2 linked regions of the Callithrix jacchus genome follow. The protein of the gene in region 2 interacts with the protein of the main gene of each other region in a pairwise test. Links are inferred from orthologs where the notes say so. Each region holds a gene or a part of one and is shown on either strand. Other genes may lie near its edges.

What was found.
Region 1: the proteins of RFESD (region 2) and HBQ1 interact in binary tests that used the Homo sapiens proteins (3 or more experiments, as listed by UniProt). The two-hybrid records come from large-scale screens. The link is inferred for Callithrix jacchus from reciprocal best matches to the Homo sapiens genes RFESD and HBQ1.

The regions. Positions count from the first base shown.
Region 1 is NC_133513.1:2,457,505-2,461,411, forward strand, and holds HBQ1 (hemoglobin subunit theta-1), read left to right. Parts: upstream 1-1,355; 5' UTR 1,356-1,382; coding exon 1,383-1,477; intron 1,478-1,562; coding exon 1,563-1,767; intron 1,768-1,855; coding exon 1,856-1,984; 3' UTR 1,985-3,204; downstream 3,205-3,907.
Region 2 is NC_133503.1:114,920,443-114,924,263, reverse strand, and holds the end of RFESD (Rieske domain-containing protein), read left to right. Parts: coding exon 1-96; intron 97-505; coding exon 506-540; intron 541-2,518; coding exon 2,519-2,782; 3' UTR 2,783-3,634; downstream 3,635-3,821.

The sequences.
Region 1 (3,907 bases), on a different chromosome or scaffold from region 2:
TTCGAGACCAGCCTAGCCAACATGGGGAAAGCCTGTCTCTACCAAAACACAAAAATTAGCAGGGTGTGGTGGTGGGCTCCTGTAGTCCCAGCTACTCAGGAGGCCGAGGCAGGAGAATCGCTTGAACCCGGGAGGCAGAGGTTGCAGTGAGCCGAGATCGTGCCATTGCACTCCAGCCTGGTGACTCAGCAAGACTGTCTCAAAACAAACAAACAAAATATTTGGTAGGTGAAAGAAACCACATGTTACACGACCCCATCGATATGCGATATCCACTACAGCGCAATCCATAGGAACCAACGGCAGATGAGTGGCACCCGGCCGGGGATACCGTTAAGGAGCACAGATTGGCGTCTGGGATGATGAAAAAGCTCTGACCTAGACAGTGGTGATGGCTGCATTAAACTGTAAATAGTCTGGCAATTTATGTCGACTTTTATCACGGTGTTTTTAACAAAAAGCTCTAAGGTGGTACAGCAGAGTGAGCGCTGCACACGTATTTACTATTATTGGGTTACATTCCAGGCACTCAGTAAACTTCACTGCCCTGAAGAAACACCTGCTGTGAGTCAGGCACCCGACGGTTGTTACCTGTTTAATTCTGACAATCTGAGAAGAAACTATTACCCTCATTTTATGATAAATGAGTAAATAAATCCCAGCAAGCATCACAGTAGATTCAAGAGGCGGAATAAACTTATTTCCAGTGCGAAATCCATGCCGAAATTGAGAGTTGTAGTAATATATATGGCCTGGTGCAGTGGCTCACGCCTGTCATCCCAGCACTTCGGGAGGTCAGGCGGGCAGATCACCTGAGGTCGGGGGTTCGAGATCAGCCTGGCTAAGATGGTGAAACGCCGTCTCTACTAAAAATACAAAATTAGCTGGGCGTGGTGGCGCTCACCCGTAATCCCAGCTACTGAGATGCTGAGGCAGGAGAATCGCTTGGACCATGGAAGTTGCAGTGACCAGTGAGCCGGAATCACGCCACTGCACTCCAGCCTGGGCGCCAGAGCGAGATTCCATCTCCAAAAACAATAATTATATATTTATGTATGTATATGATTATTATATATTTCTCTAATACGTATAAGCACGCTCCACTATGCCCGGCTACTTTAAATTTTTTTTTTGTAAATATGCGGCTTCCCTATGTTGCTCAGGCCGGTAAATATTATTTTCCATATGGTGAACCCCTAAAACGGGGGGCCTTGGATTTAGGGCGATTCAGAGGGCCCCGGTCGGCACCGACGGAGATTGAGCGCGCAGGGACCAGGGACAAGGCCGTGGACCCCAGGGAGGAGAGGCTGCAGCGCGGCGCCCCCTGGAGGCCGCGGGACCCCGTGCGGGTCGGCGCAGGCGCGGCGGGTTCGGGCGCGGGGATGGCGCTGTCCGCGGAGGACCGGGCGCTGCTGCGCGCCCTGTGGAAAAAGCTGGGCAGCAACGTCGGCGTGTACACGACAGAGGCCCTGGAGAGGTGCGGCGGGGCTGGGCGCCCCCGCCCCCCGGGGCCCTTCCTCCCCAGGCCCCCCGGACGCGCCTCACGCCCGCTCCTCTCGTAGGACCTTCCTGGCCTTCCCCGCCACCAAGACCTACTTCTGTCACCTGGACCTGAGCCCCGGCTCCGCGCAGGTCAGAGCGCACGGCCAGAAGGTGGCGGACGCGCTGAGCCTCGCGGTGGAACGCCTGGACGACCTACCCCGCGCGCTGTCCGCGCTGAGCCACCTGCACGCGCGCCAGCTGCGAGTGGACCCGGCCAGCTTCCAGGTGAGCGGCGGCCCGGCTAGGCCCCTGTCCCCGGGAGGGCCCCCCGCGGGGCGGGTGCGGGCGACTGAGCCTCGCGCGCCCCCTGCAGCTCCTCGGCCACTGCCTGCTGGTGACCCTCGCCCGGCATTACCCCGGAGACTTCAGCCCCGCGCTGCAGGCGTCGCTGCACAAGTTCCTGAGCCACGTGGCCTCGGCGCTGGCTTCCGAGTACCAGTGAACTACGGGTGGGTGGCCGCGGGACCCCCAGGCGACCCTCCCCGTGTGAGTAAAGCCCCCGAGGCTCACTCTTCCTGCCGTGCTCTCTCTCTCTCGGGGGCTGGACGTAGTGAGGGAAAGGCGCCGTCCCTCCCCAAGGAGAGGCCGGGGGCGCGCTCCCAGTGTCCAGATCCAGGCGCGCCCCGTCCCACCCCCGACAGGTTTGAGGTCTCCGCCAACGGGGCACTGACCTGGGTACAGGCTGACCCTCCTGGTTGGGGTGGCAGGTGGGGACCGCGGGCCGCGAGGGCGTCCTCCCCACTCGGGACCAAGTACGTGGCCCGGGCCCACCGCGAGAACTCCGCACCTCCAGCCTCAGCGCGCGGGGCAGCCTCGGAGCACGTTAGGGAACAGCGCCCTCTCCCGGCGCCGGCCGGCACCTGCGCCGCGCGCAGCCCGTTAGCGGCGCCGCGGGACTGGGGATGGCGGGGGCAGGTTGTGGCGAAGTCCTTTTACTGCCAGGGCCTGGGGCTGGGCCTGGGGGAGGAGGTGCGACCAACCCCAGTACCTAGTCACATAGGAGCCGGCCCGCAGCCCCGCCTTCGCCCACACTACTATGGAGAGGGAAGCTAGGCCTTCTTTGTTCTATTCGCCCCGTAACCAATCGTGGTCATTGCAGAACTTCCCAACACAACGCCTGCTGCGCCTTCCTGTGCATCGCAGGCCCAGGAGCGGGTGCAGCACATCCTTCTGTTCCCACGTGACACGCGGCACACTGTGTCATGTGTAGACAAGAACAGGACACGGCTGTCAGAGCCAAGAGCACGTGTGACACAGGCATTCCACGCCCACACACGCGGCAGACGGCCCACACAGAGCCGTCACATTTAACGCGCATCCTGCCTAACATAGTGAAACCCTGTCTCTACAAGACTACGATTAGCCGGGCCTGGCGGCATGTGCCTGTGGTCCCAGCTACTTGGGAGGCTGGGGCGGGAGAACTGCGTGATCTTGGGAGGGAGTCTGCAGTGAGCGAAGCGTGCAGTTGCACTCCAGTCTGGGCAGCTGGTCCACAGAAACAAGTCAATCGTCAGTATGACAGCATCTGTCATTGCCCTCTCCTGCATGTGCACCACCCGTTGCGTCCTTGGCCTGTTTTCCCACTGTGGTGTTGCCCAAAGGAGCATTTATTCTGTGGACCTGTAGACCTGCAGTCCATCTTACATCATGTTTATTTATTTATTTTTTTTTGAGTCGAAGTTTTGTCACACAGGCTGGAGTGCAATGGTGTGATCTCAGCTCACTGCAACTGCTGCACCTCTGCACCCGGAGTAAGCACTTGGAGCCCAAGAGGCTCAGGGCCCCTGGGGAAGCCCCAGGCTCTGACTCCTTTAAGTAGGCATGGTCACCTACTTGGGCCTGGGTTACATCTGGAGCATCAATGAAGTTGGGAGAGCCAGACCCCATCCTTTCTGGAGACGTGGGGTTGGACAGAGCTGGCCCTGGCTCAAGGGCTCAGACCACTTGGTACAGAAGCCACCCAGAGGTGCAGATCTGAGGAGCAGCTGTGGGCTCTCCACACTGTTGGGGAGCCTCACAGACCCACTCAAGTCCAGGAAAGATTGCCTCCCAGTTCAGCCTCCCAAGTAGCTGGGATTACAGGCATGCGCCACCATTCCCAGCTAATTTTGTATTTTTAATAGAGATGGGGTTTTGTCATGTTGGTCGGGCTGGTCTCGAACTCCCGACCTCAGGTGATCCACCAGCCTCAGCCTCCCAAAGTGCTGGGCTTAGAGGCTCGAGCCACCCTGCCCAGCCTGCACTCTGCTGTTTTTTGTTTTGTTTTAGGCAGAGTCTCCCACTGTCACCTAGGCTGGAGTGCAGTGGTGCAATGCTGGCTCACTGCAACTTCCACTTCCTAGGTTCAAGTGATTCTCCTGCCTCA
Region 2 (3,821 bases):
AAAAATCTGAAAGAATGACAGCTGTTGTCCATGATAGAGAAGTGGTCATTTTCTACCACAGGGGAGAATATCATGCCATGGATATTCGCTGTTACCGTAAGATTTTATTTTTCATTTGTAAAACTTTAAACCATAGGGGCCGGGCGCGGTGGCTCAAGCCTGTAATCCCAGCACTATGGGAGGCCGAGGCGGGTGGATCACGAGGTCAAGAGATCGAGACCATCCTGGTCAATTTGGTGAAACCCCGTCTCTACTAAAAATGCAAAAAATTAGCTGGGCATGGTGGCGCGTGCCTGTAATCCCAGCTACTCAGGAGGCTGAGACAGGAGAATTGCCTGAACCCAGGAGGCGGAGGTTGCGGTGAGCTGAGATTGTGCCATTGCACTCCAGCCTGGGTAACGAGCAAAACTCCATCTCAAAAAAAAAAAAAAAAAAACTTTAAACCATAAAAGCATAAAAATTTCATTTTTTTAGTGACTACATGTAATATTCAATTCCATTTCAGACTCAGGAGGACCTTTACATTTGGGAGATATAGAGGTATGTAAATTTATTTTCAGCAAATTCAGATGTTTTCTATTTATATTCTTATTTCATTATTTATTCATAAATAACTTAATTGGTTTGAACTATATTTCACTGGTTTGAATATGATTTCAAGTATTTTGGGAATTCATAAGATAAATATGAGAAATATGCATATCTTTTGACCTAGCAATTATACTCCATATTCTATGGCCATAATTGCACTGATGTTTAAGTATTTATATAGGAATGATTCAGTGTAGCATTATTTATTATAATGAATAATTGAAGGCAACCTAAATGTTTTAACAATAGAAAATTGGTTAAATAAATTATGGTACAGCCATGCTATGGAATAACTGTGCCATGCAATCATTAAATTAATGAGGAAGATCTGTATGAGTATGGAGAGATGTGAACAATGTATTTATGACTGAAAAAAGCAAATCATAAGATAATATTTCTTATGAGATCCCATTTTTAATCAACCAGAATATTCACTTTTTACTTTATACATTCTGCATAATTTGAATCTTTTACAATGAGTATATGTTACTTTATAACAAAAATATACAGTATAAATATATTTTTAAAGAAGTAAACCACACTTTGAAGTCTTAACCGAGGAGGAATAGGGGAAACTGTCTTTGCTTCCTTGGATTCCAAAACTAGTCACTCAGTTTCTTGTTTCTTACTTTATGAAATTGGTCTCGCTCTAACTGATGCAAAGTAGAAGCTTGAACTTAGCATTCCGCACTCTCTACACTTGATGAGTGTACATACTGTCCTCATGTTAAAGAACATATGTGTTTATTTTTTCTATTTTTCCCATTGTCCAAGCCCACATATGTATGTTTAAATTATGAAAATGTGAATGCTGACAGTTTTATGAAAGTACAAATCAGTATTCCTGCACTTTTGGTGATAGAGGGGAAAATGAAAGCACCCACTTACGTTTGTAAGCTGATAATAGTTTCATAGAATTTTTCCCAGTTTCAGTCCATAATGAGAGTTTGAAGACCTTGCTACTTAGTGTTGTCCATAGACCAGCAACCTTGGTGTCACATGGGAGCTTCTTGGACATTCAGAATCGTTTCCCTTAGAGTTCCCCAACCCCTTAGAGTTACTGCATTTAAACAGAGAGGCATGCATTTAAACAAGATACAAGTGATTCCCATGTTTTTTAAAGTATAAGAAACACTTCACTAAGACAGTTAAAAAGTTGGGAATCGGCTGGGCGCGGTGGCTCAAGCCTGTAATCCCAGCACTTTGGGAGGCCGAGGCGGGTAGATCACGAGGTCAAGAGATCGAGACCATCCTGGTCAATTTGGTGAAACCCCGTCTCTACTAAAAATGCAAAAAATTAGCTGGGCATGGTGGCGCGTGCCTGTAATCCCAGCTACTCAGGAGGCTGAGGCAGGAGAATTGCCTGAACCCAGGAGGCGGAGGTTGCGGTGAGCCGAGATCGCGCCATTGCACTCCAGCCTGGGTAACAAGAGCGAAACTCCGTCTCAAAAAAAAAAAAAAAAAAAAAAAGTTGGGAATTAACTACCTTGGATCACAGATTGCTTTTCTGTTATCATATGCACCCATGCCTTTAGTAACTCCTTTAGAATTTATATCTAGACCTTACAATTCTTCTAGCAGCTAGTGAAAATTCCTATAGAGGCACTTGACGTCCTTGCCCCATTTCTATCAAGGAGGCACGTAAACACCTAATAGATAACAGCACAGCTGCAGTCACATGGTTTAGTTGCCTGAGCATGTCAGTCTTCTGATAGAGCTCTAACTGGCTTTCTAATCAACTGCAAAATAACTTGATGACTATTCTCAGATTAGGTTCTGCTTATGCTGAATAATTTGTAAATAGGAGGAAAAAAGAGAAGCTAACCTGTTTTTTAACCTGGTTCTTCTGCAGCAGATTCTGTTCAGAGTCTATGATGTATCAAGAACTTGACATGTCAGAATTTTAATGAGTTATTTTCTTCCCCAGGATTTTGATGGACGACCGTGTATAGTTTGCCCCTGGCATAAATACAAAATTACTTTGGCAACAGGAGAAGGTCTGTACCAGTCTATAAACCCTAAAGATCCATCAGCAAAACCCAAGTGGTGCTCCAAAGGAATAAAGCAAAGGATTCATACAGTGACAGTAGATAATGGGAATATTTATGTGACTCTTTCTAATGAACCTTTTAAGTGTGACTCTGATTTTTATGCCACTGGAGACTTCAAAGTAATTAAGAGTTCTTCCTGATAAAAAATACGTAGCAATGAAAAATATTGTGTATGCTTAAAAACATTTTTAGAATAACTCTGCTTCAGTTTTAAAGGTGATGATTTTTTTCAACGTAGGCACAACAATTTAAACATTATATAAATTTGAGAGGTTTAAGAGCGTACATACTTAGTATGATGTAAGGATTATCATCAGGATCAATAGAATACATTTTATCTAATCCTCTGGATTAATTAGAACCTGAAGGTTATAGGTTTGGGATGTTCTGTTTAAGAAGGATGAAAATAAATTTGGAGTAAACAACGTAAATAATACGTAAAAGTTAATGTTTAGTCAGAAAAAAATTTTTTAATTTTTAAAATAGGAAAAAATCCCTGTTTGACATAGCAGACTTAATTCTGGAAAAGTTTTAATATATACAAAGTAAACAGAATATATAATGAACTTCCATCGCTCAGCTCTAACAGTTATCAGCATTCTTCTATTCTTTTTTTATTTATTACCTCTATGGATTCCCTACCTCTCCTATTTGATTGTTATTTTTACATTTTTAGGTAAATTTTAAATACATTGAAATGTTCAAACCTGAACTGTACAGTTCTCCCAAATAATATAGCAGACTTTTTATACTTAAAAAATGCCTCCAAAAATGAGCTAAGTTTACCTGCTGAACTTGAAACTTAACCACTGTCCTAGACATTAAAACCAAATAAACCTTGGCTTAGTTTCTCTGATCAAGGCAGATCTTGAAGTAAGGAAGCCACACACAGCTGCTGCCGAACCATTGGAGATGTAAAGTCTCCTATTCAATGAACCTGTGTACTTTGAATGCCTATATGAAATTTTCAAATAAAGATTTTTAACATTTTTTAGAACTTTGTGAATGTATGCACAACTAAGTGTCTCCTATAAATGTTTTAGAGAGGAGATCTAGGGTTCTGTTCCTTGGAGTTCCCAGGCAAGGTTGATGTTCACTTGGTTCACCCTGGTTTTCTCATGTCAGTTTTCTGTGGTCAGTACTGTTCTGTTGCCTGGGGCTCATACTAACTAGTTGTTA